Linked DNA regions of Elephas maximus indicus. The protein of the gene in region 3 purifies or fractionates together with the protein of the main gene of each other region. This does not show direct contact. Links are inferred from orthologs where the notes say so. Each region holds a gene or a part of one and is shown on either strand. Other genes may lie near its edges. The genes, in order: IER5, PPME1 and PPP2R2D.

Region 1 (6,114 bases), on a different chromosome or scaffold from region 3:
TCTTAGCACTACAGAGTAGGTATTTTTATTATTCCATTTTACATAAGGGGCACAGAAAGGTTAAATACCTTGCTCATGTTACATAACTAGACCATAGGTTTCTTATTTTACCTAGAGGTGAAATAACTTTCTAAAGGTCACACAGCAAATAAGAGATAGAGCCAAGCAATCTAGTCCCAAAGGCCACACTCAAGCTTCAGACTGAAATAAGTTCAGAGTTGAATCCTATCTCCTCCACCAACAGCTGTAAAACTTTGGGGAAGTAACTTAACCTCTCGTAATCTAATTTCCTCACCTGTAAATGGAGATGATAATATATACTTTCAAAACTTTGTAAGGATGCTAAATACTACATGGAAAGTGACTAACACAGTGCCTGGTAGATAATATCATTAGGGATTCATTAATTCAAACACGTAGTACTCAGTATGCATGGGTATGGCCACACCAGTTGTTAAAATATTTAAATACTTCCAGGCCAGTTGGTAAAACCTCTGCCCCAGGCCCCCTAAGTGCCTCCTTTCCTGGCCACCCAGCCGCTCCTGAAGGAGCCCTCCATAACCCCTGGCACTTTGGGAGGGCCTCCAGGACCCTATTCTGGTGGTTAGTGCCAGTGTCACATCAGGTTTCAAATACTTTGACTATGTCTTGGCTACAAATATAAATGAAATGGGTTTTTGCTGTCAATGAGAATACAGTCTTGGAGGGGCTCTGGGCGTGGCAGGAGAGAGTGATAAGTGCAGCGATAAAGGAATGTCCTGCCTAAGTGGTGGCCCTGAGGACAGTGAAATGAACCAGCTTGGGCGGGCCAGAAATCTTCACCCAAGGCAAGAAGCTTGTGCTATCAGTGACCTGCCGGGGGCAGGGGAGCATCCTAGATCATCACAAAGATTCCTTTTATCTCTGTTTTTTCATTCTTGCTACCTGCACCCTAGCTGAGGCCTTCAGGACTCTGCCTAAACTTCACATGAGCTTCATAGTTCAGTGGTCTTCCTGAGCCAACAGTTTTATCCATTCTGTCGTTCCCTTATTCAACAACCTTTAGTAGCTCCCTGTGGTCCCATCTTCGTATCGAGGCATCTAGGACCCAATATCATACAGTCCTAGTCTCTGCTTCTAGCCTTTTCCACTTATTTCAGTGCAGGTGCTGGGCACACCTGCCAAATTGGATGTTCCCTGTGCTAGATTCTGCTACTATTGCTGCTGCTGCTGTTGTTGCTTGGAACTTGTGGGTCCTCCCTCAGTGTTTTTCAACACTGTTCTCAAGTACTTCTGTGAAAGTTTCTTCTGTGGTGGATTAATTACTTCTGTGCGTGGCCTTTACAGCCATGGTCTTATAACTCCCACCCAGGTGATTCTGTGATAGGGCAATTGTGGCCTACCAATGGGATTGGTCAGTCTTGCCCTAAAAGAGCAGCGGGAGAGCCCATCACCACCAAAGAAGGAGAGATCAGCAGCAGAGACTTGCAGGAGATGGCAGGCCCACGGAGCAGGAAAGCTGAATGCCTTTGGGCAGAGACTGACTGCCAGGGAGAAGTCTATGCCTGACCTATAAATCTGGGACTTGCCAGCCTCTAAAACCCCGTGAGCCATTTCCTTTATATGGTCCATTAGTTCTGTGGGATGTTGCAGGAAATTAGGGAATCCAAAGACAGGAGGGAGAGTATTGAGGCGAGAGGGAGTAGTTGATGTTAGAGATGATGGAGTGGTAAAGCGGCTTGGAAAAGCGAGACATTTGGGACATCTTTAACCTCCGCCTCATAGGAAACACCTTTGTGCTGATCCATATAGAATCAATTTTATTTGTATACCTTCTATCCCGAGGTTCTTCTCCCACTCCAATATTGTGTGTGGATGGAATGGATATACAGGAACAACTAACATACACTGATATTAACAGCTTACTATATGTCAGGTGAGGAGCCCTGGGGGTGCAGTGGTTAAGCAGTTGGCTGCTAACCGAAAGGTTGGTTCTGTAAAGATTTACAGGCTTGGAAACCCTATGGGGCAGTTCTACTTTGTCCCAAAGGGGTGCTGTAAGTCGGAGTCAACTCAGTGGCAATGGGTTTGGTTTTCTTGTTGCAGTTAAAATGTCAGGTGCTGTTTTAAGATCTTTACATGTATTACTTTGTTTCATTTTCACAAAATTTCCACAAGATAGGGACAATTATTACCTCTCTTATCACATGAAAAAGACATGAGGCATAAAGAAGTGAAAATAACTTGCCAAAGGTCACACAACAAATAAGATATGGAACGGGCAATCCAAACAAGGAAGTTGGTCTTCAGAGCCTGTGCTCTTAACCACTGTTTTATAGTGACTAATAGCACTCATAGAAAGAGAAAACAAAAGAAAAACTTTCTTATGTTATTATTTAACAAATGTTATTTGTTTTCATAATTCTTTACATCATTATTTCATCTCCTCTATTCAGGCTGAAAATTCTCAGGCGGGGTACTCTGGGTCTCACATTCTTGTATCTCACTTACCAGTAGGAAAAAAAAACCAGTTACCACTAAGGTACGGGCAAACAAAGGTAGCGCCACTGACCCACTGGCCTCCTGATTGTGAACTGGCCATTATCAGGCCCACCTTCTTTCACTAGTATTTCTCCTAACTAAATGCACAACATGGCCAAACCCAGGTGCAGAATCAGGCAAACACTCCTACATGGACTCCAAGAAAGCTGTGCTTAGTTTTATGATTCAGATTGTGGCTGAGAGCTGTCACTCATTATCTCCGTAATAGGCCAGATGGGTGTGTGACTTCTCCTTTTTAGAGCTGGGAAAATTAAAGCATCCTGAGGTTATTTGCCCAGATTCATCAGGCAGATCCAGGTTCCCAGTCCTGGACCCTGGACAACCCTGTTGTGATTCTGCTCTGATGCCATGTACTAAGAATCAATAAATGGAATAAGTTGCTGACTGACCAGATAATTCTGGAACACCCTCCCCCTATATTTTTACCTTGATGCAAAATAAAATTATGACATCACGATGGGAACACTGGACTTCTCTATTTGTATTTTTAGCATTTGCTAGAATTTTCCAAAGATGGACTGGTCAGTTCTTGAAGAAAAATCATCTTGGAAAATGTGTAACACTTTTTATTTGTAACATATGTGACAAACGGGTGTGTTCTAGAATCTAGAGAACAAAGGGATAGATGTTTAGTGGAGAACGAGTACTTTTGGACTTAGGCACAATTCTTTGATAAGAAGCCTAAAACGGGGACTTTTGTTGCGGTTAGTTGCTGTTGATTCTGACTCATGGTGACCCCACGTGTGTCAGAGTAGAACTGTGCTTCATAGAGTTTTCAAGGCTATGACCTTTCAGAAGCAGAACACCAGGCCTGTCTTCTGAGGGGCTTCTGGGTGGGTTCCAACCGCTAACCTTTGGCTAGTGGTTGAGCAGTGCTTAACTGTTGGCCCCACTCAATTACTCCTTAGGAACTTTTAGCACTGGCAGGTGGTAAAGTGTGTGTGTGCCATTGGTTTTCCGGTGCAAGGAACTCTTAAAAACGTGTATTTGCCAAACATCTTGTAGTAATACTACTTTAAAGTACCTGCTACCAGGGTCTCCTCTTGCAGATATTGTCATCTTCTCCATGTCCTCGGTGACCAGGCATCTACAGGTGCGTGCTGCCCGGAAATGGGGAGCTGATGGGGCGGGAGCAGGACTTTATTGTCGAGCAGAGTCCACTGCCAGAGGCAGATGAAAGTGCCAATGGTTGGAGCTTTGTTTTTGGCAAGCCAGGGCACAAGCCACAATCTTTAATTTCCAACAATAGCAACCGTGAGTACATCTCCTACCTAAACACTCGCCCTCCGCCCTCCGATCACCCGCCCAGACCGCACTCGTCTGTCGGATGCACGCCGTCGCCCCCTTTAAGAGCCTGCTCCGCGGGACTAACGTTCGAATCGGCCCATGCTCCCCTCCTCGCTCTCCGATTGGCTGGGTGCGTAGCACACGGGCGCGCCTACCGGCCCCAGAACGGTTGGCGGCTCTTCGTGATTGGCTGGCGCTCGAGGGGCCTATATAAGGCGCGGGCCGGCAGGTTTGCCCTCAGTTAGCGACCGGACCCAAAAGTGTGCGGCTTTTTGTGTGACCGGGCTAGGGGGTCAGCGCGAGCGTCACCCGTCGTTTGTCTTCGGAGTCTTCAGATTCCGAGGGTCCACCCACGGAGTGGGCTTGTCTACGCCTCTCCCCTCCCAGCTTCCGAACGTGCGGCCGGGGCTCACCCCTCTCACCTCCGCGCCGACCCTGGGCAAGGGGAAGGCAGGATGGAGTTCAAGCTGGAGGCTCATCGCATCGTCAGCATCTCGCTGGGCAAGATCTACAACTCCCGGGTCCAGCGCGGCGGCATCAAGCTGCACAAGAACCTGCTGGTCTCGCTGGTGCTTCGCAGCGCCCGCCAGGTATACCTGAGTGACCCGTGCCCGGGCCTCTACCTGGCCGGCCCCGCGGGGAGCCCCGGCGCCCCGCCGCAGCAGTCCTGGGAGCCGCCGCAGCAGACCCGGGAGCCGCAGCAGTCCCGGGAGCCGGCAGCCAGGCCACCCGCCGGCTGGGGGGAGCCGCCACCGCCGGCCGCCCGCGCCACCTGGCAGGAGGCCGAGCCGCAGCCGGAGCGTCCCGCTGCCCCAGGCGAGCCGCGGACGGGTGGCGCGGAGCCCGCGGCCGCTGTGACGGGAACCGGGGACACTCTGCTGGGCGGAGAGGCGGAGGCGGCGGAAGCTGCCTGGCGCCGCGTGGAGGGACCGCACAAGGTGGAGGGACCGCACAAGGTGGAGGCCGGAGAGCCCGGGGTCCCCGCCGGAGGCTCGGACCTTCTCCCCGAGGAGCCTCGGGCCGCGCGCCGCCACTGCTGCTGCCCGGTGGGCAGGGAGGACAAGCCGGGCGCCCCGACCGGGTCCCGGCGCGCTGACTGCCGCTGCGCCTCCAGGGCCGCCGAGGACGAGCCCCCCGCGCCGCCCCCCGTCTGCCCCAGGAAGCGCAGCGCGGCGGGGGCGGGCGGCGGCCCCGCGGGCTGCCCGGTGCCCGACTCGACCCCGCTGAAGAAGCCCCGCCGGCACCTGGAGGAGCAGCCGGGCGGGGGAGACGAGGAGGAGGAGATGGAGACCGGTAACGTGGCGAATCTCATTAGCATTTTCGGTTCCAGCTTCTCGGGACTCTTACGGAAAAAAAGCCCCGGGGGCGGCCTGGAGGAAGAAGAGGGCGAGGAGAGCGCGCCGGAAGCCGCCGAGCCCGGGCAGATCTGCTGCGATAAGCCGGTGCTGAGAGACATGAGCCCTTGGAGCACAGCCATCGTGGCCTTCTGAGCCCCCCGGGTCCCTGCGAGGGAAGGAGATTGAGCAGTGGGCGTCCTCGAATGGAGGGCTGGGCCTCTCCCGGCTGCGAGGACCCCCCAGACCGTAGGCGCTGGGCGCGCTGGGCAGACTGGTGGCTGCCGGGCGGCAGAAACTGCCTGTGGGCTCGGCAGCCCTGCTGTGCCACGACTCGGGAGCCTCGTCTCGAGACTTGGGAGTTGGAGGCTTTGGGGAAGAGAACGATTGTTAACTTTTGTGTATGTGTATGTCTGTGTGTATGCAAGTTTGTCTTGTTGAATTAAGACTATTTTGTCTTTCTTGAATGCATCACCCCTTCCCGCGGGCTTAAGAGATCGGGGGCAGACAGGGACTTTCCTCTGCCGACAGCACCGAGAAGGAAGCGGAGAAAATGGGGAGTTCCCCATTCGTTCTCAGGGGAGGAAGGGACTTTACACACACCCCTCACATGAAAGCTAGAGCCACACCAGGGCCCGGAGTGGCGTTTCCTCACAGGATTTCCTAAGACTAGAGGGATTTAGTCTGGAGCCAGAGACTTATGTTATTTCTCTCCCTCCCCACCTTTCTCTCTCAACGAAGAAACGTTTATACCCTGTGATTACTCTGGGAAAGGGAATATTAACAGCCCATCTCTTTCTCACAGGGTAGAAAGCTTGATAAACTTCCCAGAAGAGTTCAAGCTTGGAAATAGGGAGTTCATAGAGAAAAGATATATTTTTAAAAGCTCTAGCTCAGAACTACTACACAGTGCTTTTAAAAAGTGTTGCCTGAAACAAAGTTTACAGACAGA
Region 2 (7,094 bases), on a different chromosome or scaffold from region 3:
TATTATCAGTAAATTTTACATCTGCAGTCTCTTTCCTCAGGCATAATGTAAGCCAAAAGCAGAGACATTACACTTATTAACTGAAGAAGCATGGTATAGTGAAAAGAGCATGATTTTTGGTGTCTCAAGTCCTAGTTCTGCCATCTATCAACCATGTGACTTAGAGAGTATTCATTTCATCTTTCTGAATCTCAGTTTCACTGTCTACAAAACAGAGGAACTACTTATCTTGCAGAGTTATTCTAAAGATTAGAAATAATACATATAAACCGTTAGCACATGGTGTATACTCAATAAAATGGTTATTATAAAGCCTCTTTGACTCTTCAACAAGTAGCAATGCCCACCACATACTAGGAACACAATAACACTTATTGCTAACAACATAACCACATGCTTACTAGACCTGCAGGTTAAATAAGACAAAAACATACCTGTTAGATAAGAGGTAAACTGCTTTGGACCACAGCGAACAGCATAACGTGTGGTTGTTCTCACAGCTTTTGGCTCAGTCTGCAAAGCATCTCTAGGACAAAAGAAGGTTCCGTCTGATGTTTCTCCCCACCATCTCACTCGGACAAGTACACAAGTGGGAGGCTTTGCAATCTTCCATATGACTTTATTAATAGTAAGTTTCAGAAAGCAGCGCAATTGGCCTTCAACCAGAGGTGGAAGGCTTGTAGATGGAGAAATATCACTCAAAGCTGTGGAATAATCCAAGAACCCTGAGTCAAAATTTAGACTAAATATAAAAATCATGAATGAAAAACAAACAAAAAACACTTTAGTCTCTACAGAGAGAAGGTTTTTTCTACCTACTTCAATACATGATAAGTAACTAGCTAACCAGGCTGTGGAATAACCTATCTGGTCGTTTACACCACCCTGATTGTTGTTGGGAAACCCTGGTGGTGTAGTGGTTAAGTACTATAGCTGCTAACCAAGAGGTCGGCAGTTTGAATCTGCCAGGTGCTCCTTGGAAACTCTATGGGGCAGTTCTACCCTGTCCTATAGGGTTGCTATGAGTTGGAATTGACTCGATGGCTGTGGGTTTGGTTTTGGTTTTGATTGTTGTTGTTAGTTGCCATCACATTGATTCCAACTCATGGTGACCACGTTTGCACTGCAGAACTGCTCCACAGGGTCTTCAAGGCTGGGACCTCTCGGAAGCCAGGCCTTACACTTCCGAGGTGCCTCCGGGTTGGTTTTAACCGCTAATCTTTAGTTAGTAGTTTAGTGTTTATAACCATTTGAGCCAACCAGAGACTCCAGCCATCCTGATAGCCCATTAGTATTTAGGCTCTGAGTCAGGTTATTCTAAGTAAAGAACATACCAACTTAAGACATACTAATATAAACTTCTCTTTAATTGAAATTAATTAATTTAAAAAATACAAATACAATGATACAGTTTTTTAAAATCTCAGAAATAGCTGAATTTTTGCTGCCAAATACTGATGTTTTAAGGCAACATCCATGATTTTTAAGATATGTTATCTTTACCCAATTCACTTATTTTAAAAAACTATCAACTAAACATAAAACAGCAACAACTCCCTTCACTGAACTCCCAAACAATTTAGTGTGTGCCACACAATCCAATATTTCAATAAAGACCATCTTAAACTGTGTCTTGTCTCTCCTACCAAAATCATAAAGTCAATGAAGACAGAGACTATCATCTTTACATTCTGCCGCTACTTTTTAGAACATTGTTGGATTCACAATATTTATTGGCTTTCAGAAAGATAATACATCAACATGGGGCAATTATCATGACTTTCTATGAAGCTTTGCTTTAACGGCCTTGTCTTCCATTCACAGCATCATTTCACCATGTGACTTTGAGTTTTCCTCTGACTTTTCTCTTGAAGAGTGGTCATGCCTCATAAGAAAATACACTTGAACCAGAATCTAACAGATCAGGAATCTACAAAAATAATTCTTTAGGTTTCTGAAGCAAATACCCTTTACTGCCCTTCATAATGGAAAAACTCCCACCATAATCTTTATGGAGCCTGGTGGCATAGTGGTTAAGAGCTCGGTTGCTAACCAAAAGGTCAGCAGTTCACATCTACCAACCGCTCCTTGGAAACTCTATGGAGTTGTTCTACTCTGTCCTATAGGGTCACTATGAATGGGAATCAAGTTGACCACACCTAACAACAACAATGAAATCTTTACGGATAATTAGTTTCAATATAAAAATTATACACAGGTTTGTACATGTGCCTCACTGCATATGCATCTGTTATAGCAAGAAGGACGTTATTTTCTATACTACGGTTGTCATTTCTACTTTGGTTTGTCTTTTATCAATCAAATGTGCTTGACTGATTTGCCAAAGGGAGCACTGGCATTGAAAACCTCCATGTCTCTGTATCAGATTCTCCTACCATATCTGGCAGGAAAAGCACTGCCTCACAACTGCCTTACAGCTTGGATAAGATTCTTTCCCATACAGTAGCTTCAGCCTTCAACCCAATGGCCTTAATGTACTATCAGTATTCCTAATACCCTTTCTTCACTGTTGCTGTTGTTAGTTGCCATCTGGCTCATTGTGACCCCATGTGTGCAGAGTAGAACTGATTCATAGGGTTTTTTAAGGCTGTGACCTTTTGGAAGCAGATGGCAAGGCCTGTCTGCTGAGGTGCCTCTGGGTGAGCTGGAACCACCAACCTTTCAGCTAATAGTTGAACATGTAACCACTTGCACCACCCAGGGTCTCTTAAAGTGCCCATAATATAAAAAAGTCATGGCCACCTAATTTTCTTTTTTTCTTGAAGGCAGCCCTAGAGAGATCCAACTTCCAGTTTTCTGATCTGCCCTGGGTTCCTAGCATGACTGTTCTCACTACAGCTAACACACTCCTACCCTTTTGGACACCTTGTTTCTCCATCAGTGTCCTAACCTAATGAGGTCCTCTTGCATCTCTGCAGCCTGCCCTCTAATGTTCCCCTTCCTAGCCACCTCACATCCTTCAGAAGATCCTCATGCCTTCACTCCCACTCCAATCCTACCACACCTTGTCACTACCCCTTTGCTGTTAAGTCCAATCCGACACATTGGGACCTTATTTTTTCAGCTCGTCACTACCCACTCTTTTCTCCCTCTCTGTTGCACAACTCTCCCAACTCTCGCTGGTAGGCCTCACTTGCTTCTTTCATTCAACTAACATTTATTGAGTAATGCTTTGCGCTAGTCCTTGGGGATCCAATAATGTATAAAACGTTCTTGCCCACTGACTTAGTCCCCTCTCCAACTTATGTTTCCTGTGGCCCCCTGAAGACCTTCAAAGTCTTTACCCCCCCCCCACACGTTTAACTTTGTTATTAAAAACACTCCTGGAATTTTTCCTTCCCCTCTCCTAGAGATGTCCTACTTGTACCTTTTTAGCCCTCACCAGCCCACTCGTTCCCGTTTTTTGCGTCGCACCCCATTTCCTTTTCATTCTTTGGAGGGCCAACTGTCCTCTCTTTTAACCTTCTGACTCCTTGGTTATTTTCCTTCTTCGTCCCATCTTTCTTTTAAACCCTGCTCCTTGCCCAAACCCCGCCCGGTTACGCTTTTTTCAGCCTTTGGTTGCTCGGGTTACCTCTCTTTTTGCGGCCACGGCCACCCCCAGGTCCCTGGCCTTTTCGTTGTTTCATGCCGAACCCGAGCTCTTTTTCACCAACTTAGCTCCGGACCCAGCACCGACGTCTTACCCTCCCGCCATCCCTTCTCCTGGCGCCAGCGTTCCCCGGCAACCGGCGCCGCTGGGCAGCCTGGGAGGAAGGAAAAAGCAACTCTCTCCTTAACAGTTTCTGGGAAGCCGTCAGAATGGAAGGCGCCAAGACTCCTTCCCGCCAGTAGACTACAACACCCAGGATGCTTTGCTATGCTACCTCTGCGGGGTCGGAAGCGGTCACCTCCCGCTGCGCAAGCGCGAAGGGCTAGGCCCTTAGACGACTCCATTGCCCAGGGTGCATTGCCTTTCAGAGGGCTCGTCTTTCCGGCGAGAGCTGTCGAGTTCTCCACTTGGGGTTTCAGCGGTCCGCAGACTCCGTTACCCAGCTTCCTTTGTGGGAGTGCTGTGGCGCACTTCCGGTGGAGGTGCTGAGAGAGGGGGTGGAGTCTGAGGAGCCGGTGGGCGGTAGGCGGTGCTGCCGGTGGCTGAGGGCTGTCTAAAGGCGACAGGGCGTCGCTAGGGAGCCATCTGTGACCGGTTGGCCCACACTTAACGTGGGACGAAGCTTCGGCTGCTGTTTGAGTACGTGCGGCCTCGCTTTCATGTCGGCCCTCGAGAAGAGCATGCACCTTGGCCGCCTGCCCTCTCGCCCTCCCCTACCCGGCAGCGGGGGCAGTCAGAGCGGAGCCAAGATGCGAATGGGGTACGTGACCCATACCCCTTCTCCCTAGAGGCCAGGCCCCGGCCATTGGAGAATGGCGTTTCTGGGCGTTTAGAGCAGCACGGGAGGAGAGGCTAAGGATAGAAGAACGCTGGCAGCGGCCTGGGAGAGGTTTGGTTGGAGTAGAAGGCAGATCTGGGAGACTAGAGGAGTCGCCAGGTCAATGGAAATTGGAGGACACCATCAGAGACTGGCTTGAAGGAAAAATTAGAGGAATAGCGATGTTCAAGGGAAAGGGAATGAGGCAAAGATTAGGGAAACTGAGAGGATAATTAAGGGATGTGGGAGGCACCTCCAGAGGAAGGAATGAAAGAGGTTTGAGGAAAGGAATAGAGCCGTGACAAAGGTGGGAGGTAAATGTGCCAGGCAGTGCTGGAGGAAATACGGAATGACTGAGAGAAAAGTTGAGGGGAATTGGGGGAACGGCTTGGGAGTAGTAAGAAGACTGTGAGAACTAGATTTTAGAAAAGCTGAGGGGCATAGGGAACACCTGAGGTAGGGTTGGGGAAGAAAAAAGGAGAGCTTAGGAGCAGAAGGTTCTAGACAGAGTTCCCAGAGGCATAAGAGACAGATCCAGGGAGTGAGGGGTGACTAATAGATTAGGTCTCTTAAGGGTGAACTGAGAAAGCTTGGTAAATAGGCCTAAAGAAAGATGGAGAATATAGCCAGGAAGATTGTTAAGGGTAATAGGAACGTTTTTTGAGAAGCTGGGAAGGAGTGACGAAGGAGAGGTCTGAGGAGTTTAGAGAGTGATGGTGGGCCCTAGGGATTGAGAAATGATTAAGAATAGGGTTTAGTGAATGGAAATGATGCAGAGGCGAGGTCTGGGAAGCTTTAAGAAAAAGATTTGGACAGTTGATTTTTGCCGGACAAGTAGATTTGAGGGAAGCAACGTACTGGCCTTACAATTCTCAGAGAAGTCATGAAGCATTGGGAGTAGCTGCTTAAAATAAGAAAGTGTTGGGGGAAAACAGTTTGATTGGGAGAGATGGAGCCGTGTGGAAGGGATAGGCTTTGGAATTTTAGGTCACTGAATGGCTTGTGCCAGGTTTGGGGATACTTAGGCAACAGAAAGAAGTCATAAAAGTTGAAGATGGGAGAGGCAATTGCTGGAAAGTAAAGGGAATTGAATAATCAGTTGGGATTGAGGGGTGTTTGTAGTGTCAGAATTCTGGGGACTAGTGACTGTAGAAAAGGGGTAGGAAGGATATGTAGGTATGAAGTAGTGAAGAATGTGTGTTTGGGACTCCAGAGGTGGGTTGGTTGATATTCTGGAAACGAGGACTCCTGAGGAGAAACTGTAGGTTCTGAAGAAGTAATAATTTACAAAAACTGATCAAAAATGAAATAAGCAAGAGATGCAGTACTGTGAAATTAGGTCCTAGGAATGAAGGGAAAGGAGAATCCTATAAATTAAAACAGTGGGGCAGAGAGATGGTGAGAATGGTTGGAGAAACCAGGGAAGGAAACGAAGATGTACAGTAGAAGAAATGAGGAAACTTTGACAGAAGGAGAGAGATTGGTGTATGCACAATAGAAAGACGTGGTAGAAGGCTACATGAAAGATAAAATGAGGATTGCTTTGGCTTTGGAAGAATGGAAGGTAGGACTAACATGAATAAAGGGAATCTGGAAACTGATCCATAGCAGATTATTTGGGAGAATTAATCTGGGGTATAAAATTAATGTAACATTTAGTTGTTGCCTTTTTCAAACTAAAATTTCCTCTTTCAGTATACCAGCACACTCTCTCTATAAATATAAAAAATATATTTTTAAAAATAACTAAACTATATATACTTTGATGTTGTTAGGTACTGTTGAGTCGGTTCTGACTCACAGTGACTCTATAGGACAGGGTAGAACTGCCCCATAGGCTTTAATAAGGAGCTGCTGGTGGATTTGAACTGCCAACCTTTTGGTTAATAGCCAAGCTCTTAAGCACCATGCCACTAGGGCTCTGTACTTTCAGTAAGTTTAATTAGAGCTCAGCTCCTCACCTTGTCAAAACCAGTTCTCTGAAGAGGAAGGGGTGGGGGGGAATAACCACGAGAAAACAAAGGAGAAATCTGCTGATTAGAAGATTGTATAGTTGTTAGTAACTTAACTTTTTCAGTAACTTGTCCTTTTTAAATAGATGCTTTGGGCTTCGTGATTTAGGTTGGCTGCTTATCTTGAAAAAATAAAGTTATTTAGGAAGATGCGTTTTTATCATAGTATTGGGAAGAGAAGAGCATGATTTTACTATATTGGTGAATTTTGTGTGATCCTCAAGTGGCTTATTTTCCTATATTTTTGTTTTCTGCTTCCTTTTTGGTACCTTGGCAAGGCCTCACCTAAGTCTGATGGTAGTGACAGAATGGACTGTCTTATCTAGACTCATAAAGCTAGACAAGAGCTTAGAAGTGATCTCATTTCACTACTTCATTTTATAGTTGAGGAAACTGAGACTCAGAGAATTCTGTATTCTGTGAGGCAAGCTAGGGCAGGGGATATTTTCTCTTGATAAACGAAAAAATTGAGGCTCAGGTGTTCCTGCTCTTAGGCAGCCTAGGAACTTAGTGGTAGGGCCACTAAGGACTAGGGTCACTTGACTCTGAGACCCATTGTTTTTTGGATTCATAGTTGTTATCCTGGAAATACTAATTTGAGTTGTATAGCTTATTCCTTTGCAGATACTCTAGGATTCAGTCTTTCATTTTC
Region 3 (7,346 bases):
CTTTTTAAAAATCAACTTTTATCAATGTGTGATCCACATGCGTACAATATAATGGACCCAATTTAAGTGTGTGGCTTCATGAGTTTTGACAATGGCGTACACCTGTGACCACTGCTCCAGTGAAGACATACAACATTCCCCTGGCTCCAGTGAAGACATACAACATCCCCCTGGCTCCAGTGAAGACATACAACATTCCCCTGGCTCCAGTGAAGACATACAACATTCCCCTGGCTCCAGTGAAGACATACAACATCCCCCTGGCTCCAGTGAAGACATACAACATCCCCCTGGCTCCAGTGAAGACATACAACATTCCCCTGGCTCCAGTGAAGACATACAACATTCCCCTGGCTCCAGTGAAGACATACAACATCCCCCTGGCTCCAGTGAAGACATACAACATTCCCCTGGCTCCAGTGAAGACATACAACATCCCCCTGGCTCCAGTGAAGACATACAACATTCCCCTGGCTCCAGTGAAGACATACAACATCCCCCTGGCTCCAGTGAAGACATACAACATCCCCCTGGCTCCAGTGAAGACATACAACATCCCCCTGGCTCCAGTGAAGACATACAACATTCCCCTGGCTCCAGTGAAGACATACAACATTCCCCTGGCTCCAGTGAAGACATACAACATTCCCCTGGCTCCAGTGAAGACATACAACATTCCCCTGGCTCCAGTGAAGACATACAACATCCCCCTGGCTCCAGTGAAGACATACAACATCCCCCTGGCTCCAGTGAAGACATACAACATCCCCCTGGCTCCAGTGAAGACATACAACATCCCCCTGGCTCCAGAAGGGTATCTCTTGCTCTTTCACAATCAGCCTCCTCCCACAACCATGTTTTTTCCTGTCTCCATATTATAAGCGATCTAAACGGAGGCTCAGCAGTCAGACTGTTTAAAAAATAATTTTTTTTCATCTAGTAGATTCTGACTCCTGGTGACATCATGGAGAGGAAGGAGTCGCCGGATGGGTGACACAAACGGTCAAACGCTCGATGACTAACTGAGATATTGGCAGTTTGCACCCACCCAGAGGCACCTCAGAAGACAGGCCTGGTGATCTGTTTCCAAAAGGTCACATCCTAGAAAACTCTATGGAGCAGTTCTACCCTGCACGCACGGGGTGGCCGTGGTCGGAATCACCATTTACAGCACGTACTCTTTTGTGTCTAGTTCCTTTTGTTCAGCATTGTATTTCTGAGATTCGCCCCTGTCGCTCTTAGGAGTAATTTGTTCTTTTTCGTTACTAAATAGTATTCCGTTGTGTGAGTACAGTACACTAGACTCTAATACACACCAGACACTTCACAACTCGCGATGAGCTCTAAAAATTATGATAAGGAAAAAGAAAACTGTCTTGCAATACCCAAGACTTGTCAACACCAATTAGAATGCAAACAGTGAAATTCACAGAGATATTTAAAGCTCTTTATTATCACAGAAAAGAAGAGTTAAAACTTCTTGCAGGCCAGCTGACGCAGGGTGGGTCCCAAGGAAGACAGCTCACTATTGTCAGGAATATGCTACTTCTGTGGACCACACCTTGTCTTTTAATGTAATTTAATGGTAGCCAATACGTGAAAGAACACATCTGAACCAAGTTATCTTGCCATCATTTGAAAAGACTTATCTTTCCACACATAATGGTAAAACGGAACAAAAAATAGTAAACCAGTTACCGTGGCGTCCACTCCGGCCCACGGTGACCCACGCGTGTCAGAGTAGAACTGTGCTCCACAGGGTTTTCAGTGGCCGATTTTTTGCAAGTAGATCCCCTGATCTTTCTCCCGAGGCACCTCTGGGTGGACTGGAACCTCCAACCGTTTGATTACAAGTGAATGCGTTGGCCCTTTGCACCACCCAGGGACTCCTTCCATACACAAAGCAATTACACAGAAGACAGTCTGATAGCTGGCCAACGTTTCAGTTGCGGTCACCGTCAGGCTGGACAAATCTGCACATAAAAAGGGGAGATTATGGCGCCTTGTCTCTGCTTCTCCTGACAAGGTTCCCGAAGGGCTGTGGTGCTCACTGCCCCCACCACCGCCCCCCCCCCCCCGGCAGCTGCTCTGGGCTTCTGGGCTCCTACCGGGGAAGCTAAGGTCCACCCTGCAGCCTGTCTGATGCCACCCGCCTGCAGCACTGGAGAGCCACAGCTCCCATCCCGTCCCTGGCTCCCCGCCCAGCTCCAGGAAGGCTGCTCCTCTGTCCTCCATTCTCTGTTCCCACACCCTTCCGGACTCTGACCTCGGTTCTCTTCCCCATCCACCCCCGTTCCTGGTGATCTCACCATTCCAGCCTCAAGATGCTGCTGACCCTGAGTTCACACTCCAGCCCCAACCTCCCTGTGATCCCGGCTCGGATGTCTAGCTGCCTTTGCCACCACTCCCTCAGCTGATGGCCACCCCTGGGCCTGTACTGCCACACTGCTCCTTCTGTGGTCCTTCCCTCCTCGAGCTAGGGCTGCAGACCCCAGGAGTGCAGTGGTCCCTCGGTCCCTTCTTCCTCTACATCCATCCCACCTGCACGCCCACCCAAAGCCCTGCCTTGGCAACACTGCGGCTCTGAAATCCAACCGTTCTCACCGTTCTCACTTCACACCCACGTCCACACCCCTCATCACCTTGCCTGGACCCGGCAGTGGTCCCTCACGGGTCTCCTTGCCTTGGCCCTGGAGTCCCTCCTTCTGTTCTCAGCACGGCAGCCACAGTGGCCTGTTACAGCCCCATCGGTCACCACCCTCCCCTCCTCATCACCCCCATAGGGTCCCCCACCCATCAGAATCCTTGAATGGGCCCACATGGGCACACCCTCCATTCTCCTCGCCTTACCTCCCTGTCTTCACGTCTACCTCGTCTCCCTTCACCCACTTTGCTCCCCCACCCCCGGCCTCCTGCCTTGCTGCTCCTTGCTTGTTGCCAGATGCACGCTGCCCCAGGGCCATTGCACCCGCTGTTTCCACCTCCTGGCACAACCTTTCCCAGATATTGCACGGCTGGCTCCCTCAACCCCTCATGGTCCTCCTCATCATTCAGTTTAAAATTGCAAGTTCTCCCCACACACACCCCAAATATACGCCCTTTGCCCGATCTCTACCTTATTTTTCTATCTAGCACCATGTGACTTATTACATAACTTGCTCTTGTTGTCGCCGGAATCCCTGTCTGAAATATAAGCTGGGGAGGTCAGACTCTCTGCCCCCGCCGCACCCTGGCAGCTGGAGCAGGGCGTGGCCATCAATAACCGTTCCTTCAGTGAACGGAGACTCTAGGTCCTTGTTTCTCCTGATTTGGAGCATTGTCTTCTAACTGTGCAATGCGACCACCGCCAACTCTGCAACATCACTGATACGAGTTAGGACTCAGATACCGGTGAAACCCATAAATGAATGGGTAATCTCTCGGATACCAGAGAAAACAAACCCACAAACGAAGAAGAGGCCAGCCACGTTGTATTTCAAACCAAAGGTTTTCATCAAAGTGTCTCCCTAGGTAGCTCCAAGAATCCCTGAGCCGCCGACTTCACAGACACAGGCGAACTCGGCACGGGGTTCTGGCCGCGAACCTGCGGACTCGCCGCGCGGGCCGGGAAGCCCCACCCGTCCGGACATCGCCGTGCCTAGTGCGCCCCTGTTGGCTCCTTCCATTGGCCGAGGCTCCAAGGGGCGGGCCAGAGCAGCACTCAGGCCTCGCCCACCCCTGCCCGGAGGCCACGCCCACCCACCCCCAGACAGCCCTGCGCCGAGCGCGCCCCCATTGGCTGCTCCGCGGCAGGGCTCGCAAAAGGGCGGTGCTCCAATTGGTCGAGGTCCGAGGGGCGGGGCTCAGACTGGCGGTGGGGCACGCCTGAGAGCGAGGCTGAGTCAGCACTGGAAGTCGAGTGTCCACCCTGCTTTCGAAGCCTGTCCACTGGGTGCTTCGGGGTCGCCGCTTCGAGCCCTCTACACCCTCCCTGAGAGCGGCCCCGCAAGTGTTCTTCCAAGGAGCTCCGGACACCCGCCGGCCCGGCGCTCCTCCTGCGTCCCTAAACCGTCTCCTCCCGACCGCGGGTCATGGGGCGGGGAGCGGCTCCGGGCGCGCGACGGCGTCTCGCGCAGGCGCAGTCCACGCGGGGCGCGTCGCCGACAGCCCCCGGGCCGCACGCCAGCCTCGCCCCGCCCTCCCGGGACAGGCCCCGCCCCCGGCCCCGGCCCCTCTCACTGGAGGTGGAGGGATGACGTCATCGAGCGGGGCGACGGGCATTGGGCGCCATTTTGAAAAGGGAAAAAAAAAAATCACTGGCGGAGGCGACTGCCGGGCTGAGGTTCTCGGGAGGCGGTAGCGCGGCGGCTGCTCGTTCCGTGCGCGCAGTCGGCGCGGCATCGTCCGCCCGCCGCCGCCTCAGCGCCGGCCGCCTCGGCGATGGCAGGTGAGGGGCCGCGCGCCGGGGGCGGGACGGGCGGGGGCGGGGGCCGGGCCTGATGCCCCTCGTGTGTTTGCAGGAGCCGGGGGCGGCGGCTGCCCCGCGGGCGGCGGCGACTTCCAGTGGTGCTTCTCGCAGGTGAAGGGGGCCATCGACGAGGATGTGGCGGAAGGTAAGGCTCGGCCGGCCCGAGCGCAGCTCCTGGCGTGACGGGCACGTCCCGGCGCGCGGCCCCGCCTCGGCCTCCGCGCGGTCCCGCTGGTGCAGTGCCGCCCGAGCGGAATCGCGCCGGGCCCTGCAACCCGGGTCCGGGTCACTGTGCGCGCCTCCGGCCGCGGCCGCACCTCGGGCCCCGAGAGGGACCGGCCCGAGCACTTCCCGGGCCCCCGGCGCTCGCGGGCCTCGGAGGGCGGCCCAGGTACAGGCTGGGGCTCAGGCCGGAGAGGGGGACGGCAAGCCTGGAGGGGCCAGACCGGGGGGGGCGATAGAGCCGCGGGGGACGGGCCCGGGGCACAGGTCGAGGGGCGACAGAGCCGCGGGGGACGGGCCCGGGGCACAGGTCGAGGGGCGACAGAGCCGCGGGGGACGGGCCCGGGGCACAGGTCGAGGGGCGCAGACGTGCGGGTACAGGCCTGGGGCACGGGCTGGGGGGCGCAGACGCGGGGGGACGGGCCCGGGTTCAGGTCTGAGAGGGACAAGCCGGCACTCGCCCCGCTCCCCGGGACCACGCTCCCCTCTGCCTGGTGGCCATGGTGGCCTGAGGAGTCGCCCCGTGGGGACGGCTGCAGTGGGGCGCTGTTCTGTACGTGATGGTTTCTTGGTGCGCTCACGGATGTGTCATTTTTAATGGGATATTGGCTGAGAGGGGTTATGTAAGTAGCCTAAGGTCACAGACCGGGGGAGTGGCGGAGACTGGATGAGAACGGGGGTATTTTGAGCCCAGTTCTGGGTTCTTCCCAATGGAAGTGGCCCCCGCCTCCTGTATTTGGTGGAACTAAGAAAATAACTGCAGAAGTTGGGGACTCAGGATACTTAAAATCGGGGTGACTGTACTTGAGGATTAGGGACGGGGCCCACGGTTCTCTAGACCCCAGCGCAGTCTTTAATCTCTCTCTTTTTTTTGGCTCAGTTTCTTCCTCTCTAAGAAGAGAGTTGGTCTACTGGATTCTTAAGACTGCCTTCTAGGGTTCTAAAATTATTGAATTCTACCACCAATCTTGATGTCTGTTTCTTTTTCCCTTTTAGGTTTTAATCTCGAACCTTATGGCATTGCATTAAATTGGCTGGTGGTTTTTTCACAATAGTCTCAAGTGGGCTAAGGCTTAGAGTTTCAGGACTGGGTGGGAAACTCCGTAGGGTGTACCCTGCCTCTCTCAGCTTCCCATGAAGCCACATGTCATCTTAAAGGGAAAAATTGAGTGTAAAAATGATTTTTAGAGACTGAGAAGTTTAACATTTTAGGTTTAGAATAATAAACTTTTTTTGTTGTTCAGCCATCTTACTGAACATTGTGAGCCTTTCACTTTTCAAGAGTGAATTGTCATTGGCTGATGCTTTGCACCAAGTTCATCTTCCCTGCCCCAAGTAACCTTGGCTCTTCCTGTGCCCTTTACTCCCTCTGCCTGCTCCCTGTGCTTCTTCCTGGCAGTGTCTCCTTTGATGCATGACCCTTGGGGACATCTGCGAGCCTTGGCCCATGGGACAGACAGTGCCCAGATTAGGGAAGTGCAGTTGTACTCTAAGAAATTTGTGAAGTCGTGTATGGTTTTTGGTTGTAGCTTGATGATTTTATATAGTGTAAATAAGCATAAACAAGCACGTTGATTCTGTTTCCTTTGGATCAATCTAAAATATGTTACTTTTGTTGTTTGATTTATGTCCCAAGTAGGGAACAGTTCACCTTTACCCAGGTGAAGTGGTGATTTCTATCGAGAGGAAAGCAGAAAATGTTTGTTTGGTGGCAGAGCTTAAGGCCTGTCTTAGTTTCTGGTTTCTTTCTTTTTTCTAGAAGTTTTTATTGCCAAGTTAAATGAATAGAAATTTAAATATAACTGAAATGGTATATTTTAAGTGTGACTTGATACTTTGAAGATGGCATTCTTTCTCTTACAAGAATGGGGACAGAAAGGTTTTGTTCTCAGAATTAAACTGATTAGAAGTTTTTGCAGCCTTAAACCCCGGTTTTGAGCAGAAATTTGAGCTCATCTAGAAGTTTCACGTTTTGGAGTTGCCATCATTTTGGTGACTGCTTTGCGCTGATAGTGTGTGTATCGCAACTTTCTCTTTTAACCCACTCAAGGGGTTAGTCACTTGGCAGGGTTAACACATTTTTAGGTGTTCTTTACTTTGTCACATAGTTGTGATATGAATTTGAATTGCATCATTAACGTAGAGTTTGACAGTAACTAAGGAAAATGCAATCTTTAGCAACTGGTAATTTTTAAGCAACATGTAAAAAGAAGCTGGCAGAATGCTTTGCAGAAGAATTTCTGGCCCAAACTCAACCTTAATGAAGACATTTTGATGCTCAGAGAGTTACTAGGGAATGGGTAGGTAGTTCGTGAGAGGGACTAAGCTTTGACCGGAGGACTTGGGGTGCGCTGAAATCTGAACGAATGCATGGCTCTGAGGCGTGCCTGCGAAGGCTTTATTTTGGCCTGAGCTTTACCGTGAGTCAGCCTTAACCCTACGCTTTAGACCATGTTTCTGCATTCCTTTGGGATGGGTGATAAGAAAGGGCATTAGAAATTGAAGCTAGAGACCTCACCTCACTTCAGTGAGGGTGGTATCTGCAGAGGTAGAGGGGTTGGGGGAAGGAGGGTTAAAAGTAGGCACTCTGAACTTTGAAGATTGTAAAGTGAATGAAAGACAGTGTTTTGTTTTTATAGCTAATGGTTTGGGGTGGCTTTAATCATAGCTCCCAGTG

Evidence for each region.
Region 1: the proteins of PPP2R2D (region 3) and IER5 purify together in Homo sapiens (affinity purification with mass spectrometry; 3 studies listed by BioGRID and IntAct, counting the BioPlex papers as one, with this or other methods). This does not show direct contact. The link is inferred for Elephas maximus indicus from reciprocal best matches to the Homo sapiens genes PPP2R2D and IER5.
Region 2: the proteins of PPP2R2D (region 3) and PPME1 purify together in Homo sapiens (affinity purification with mass spectrometry; 4 studies listed by BioGRID and IntAct, counting the BioPlex papers as one, with this or other methods). This does not show direct contact. The link is inferred for Elephas maximus indicus from reciprocal best matches to the Homo sapiens genes PPP2R2D and PPME1.

The regions. Positions count from the first base shown.
Region 1 is NC_064842.1:44,213,282-44,219,395, forward strand, and holds IER5 (immediate early response gene 5 protein), read left to right. Parts: upstream 1-4,081; 5' UTR 4,082-4,283; coding exon 4,284-5,318; 3' UTR 5,319-5,604; downstream 5,605-6,114. UniProt on the Homo sapiens protein: Plays a role as a transcription factor. Mediates positive transcriptional regulation of several chaperone genes during the heat shock response in a HSF1-dependent manner. Mediates negative transcriptional regulation of CDC25B expression.
Region 2 is NC_064825.1:48,323,594-48,330,687, reverse strand, and holds the start of PPME1 (protein phosphatase methylesterase 1), read left to right. Parts: upstream 1-4,035; 5' UTR 4,036-4,272; coding exon 4,273-4,373; intron 4,374-7,094. Other genes in the region: C2CD3 (C2 domain-containing protein 3), read right to left, coding at 435-704, 3,596-3,650. UniProt on the Homo sapiens protein: Demethylates proteins that have been reversibly carboxymethylated. Demethylates PPP2CB (in vitro) and PPP2CA. Binding to PPP2CA displaces the manganese ion and inactivates the enzyme.
Region 3 is NC_064834.1:81,627,925-81,635,270, forward strand, and holds the start of PPP2R2D (serine/threonine-protein phosphatase 2A 55 kDa regulatory subunit B delta isoform), read left to right. Parts: upstream 1-4,260; 5' UTR 4,261-4,419; coding exon 4,420-4,426; intron 4,427-4,499; coding exon 4,500-4,592; intron 4,593-7,346. UniProt on the Homo sapiens protein: Substrate-recognition subunit of protein phosphatase 2A (PP2A) that plays a key role in cell cycle by controlling mitosis entry and exit. Involved in chromosome clustering during late mitosis by mediating dephosphorylation of MKI67.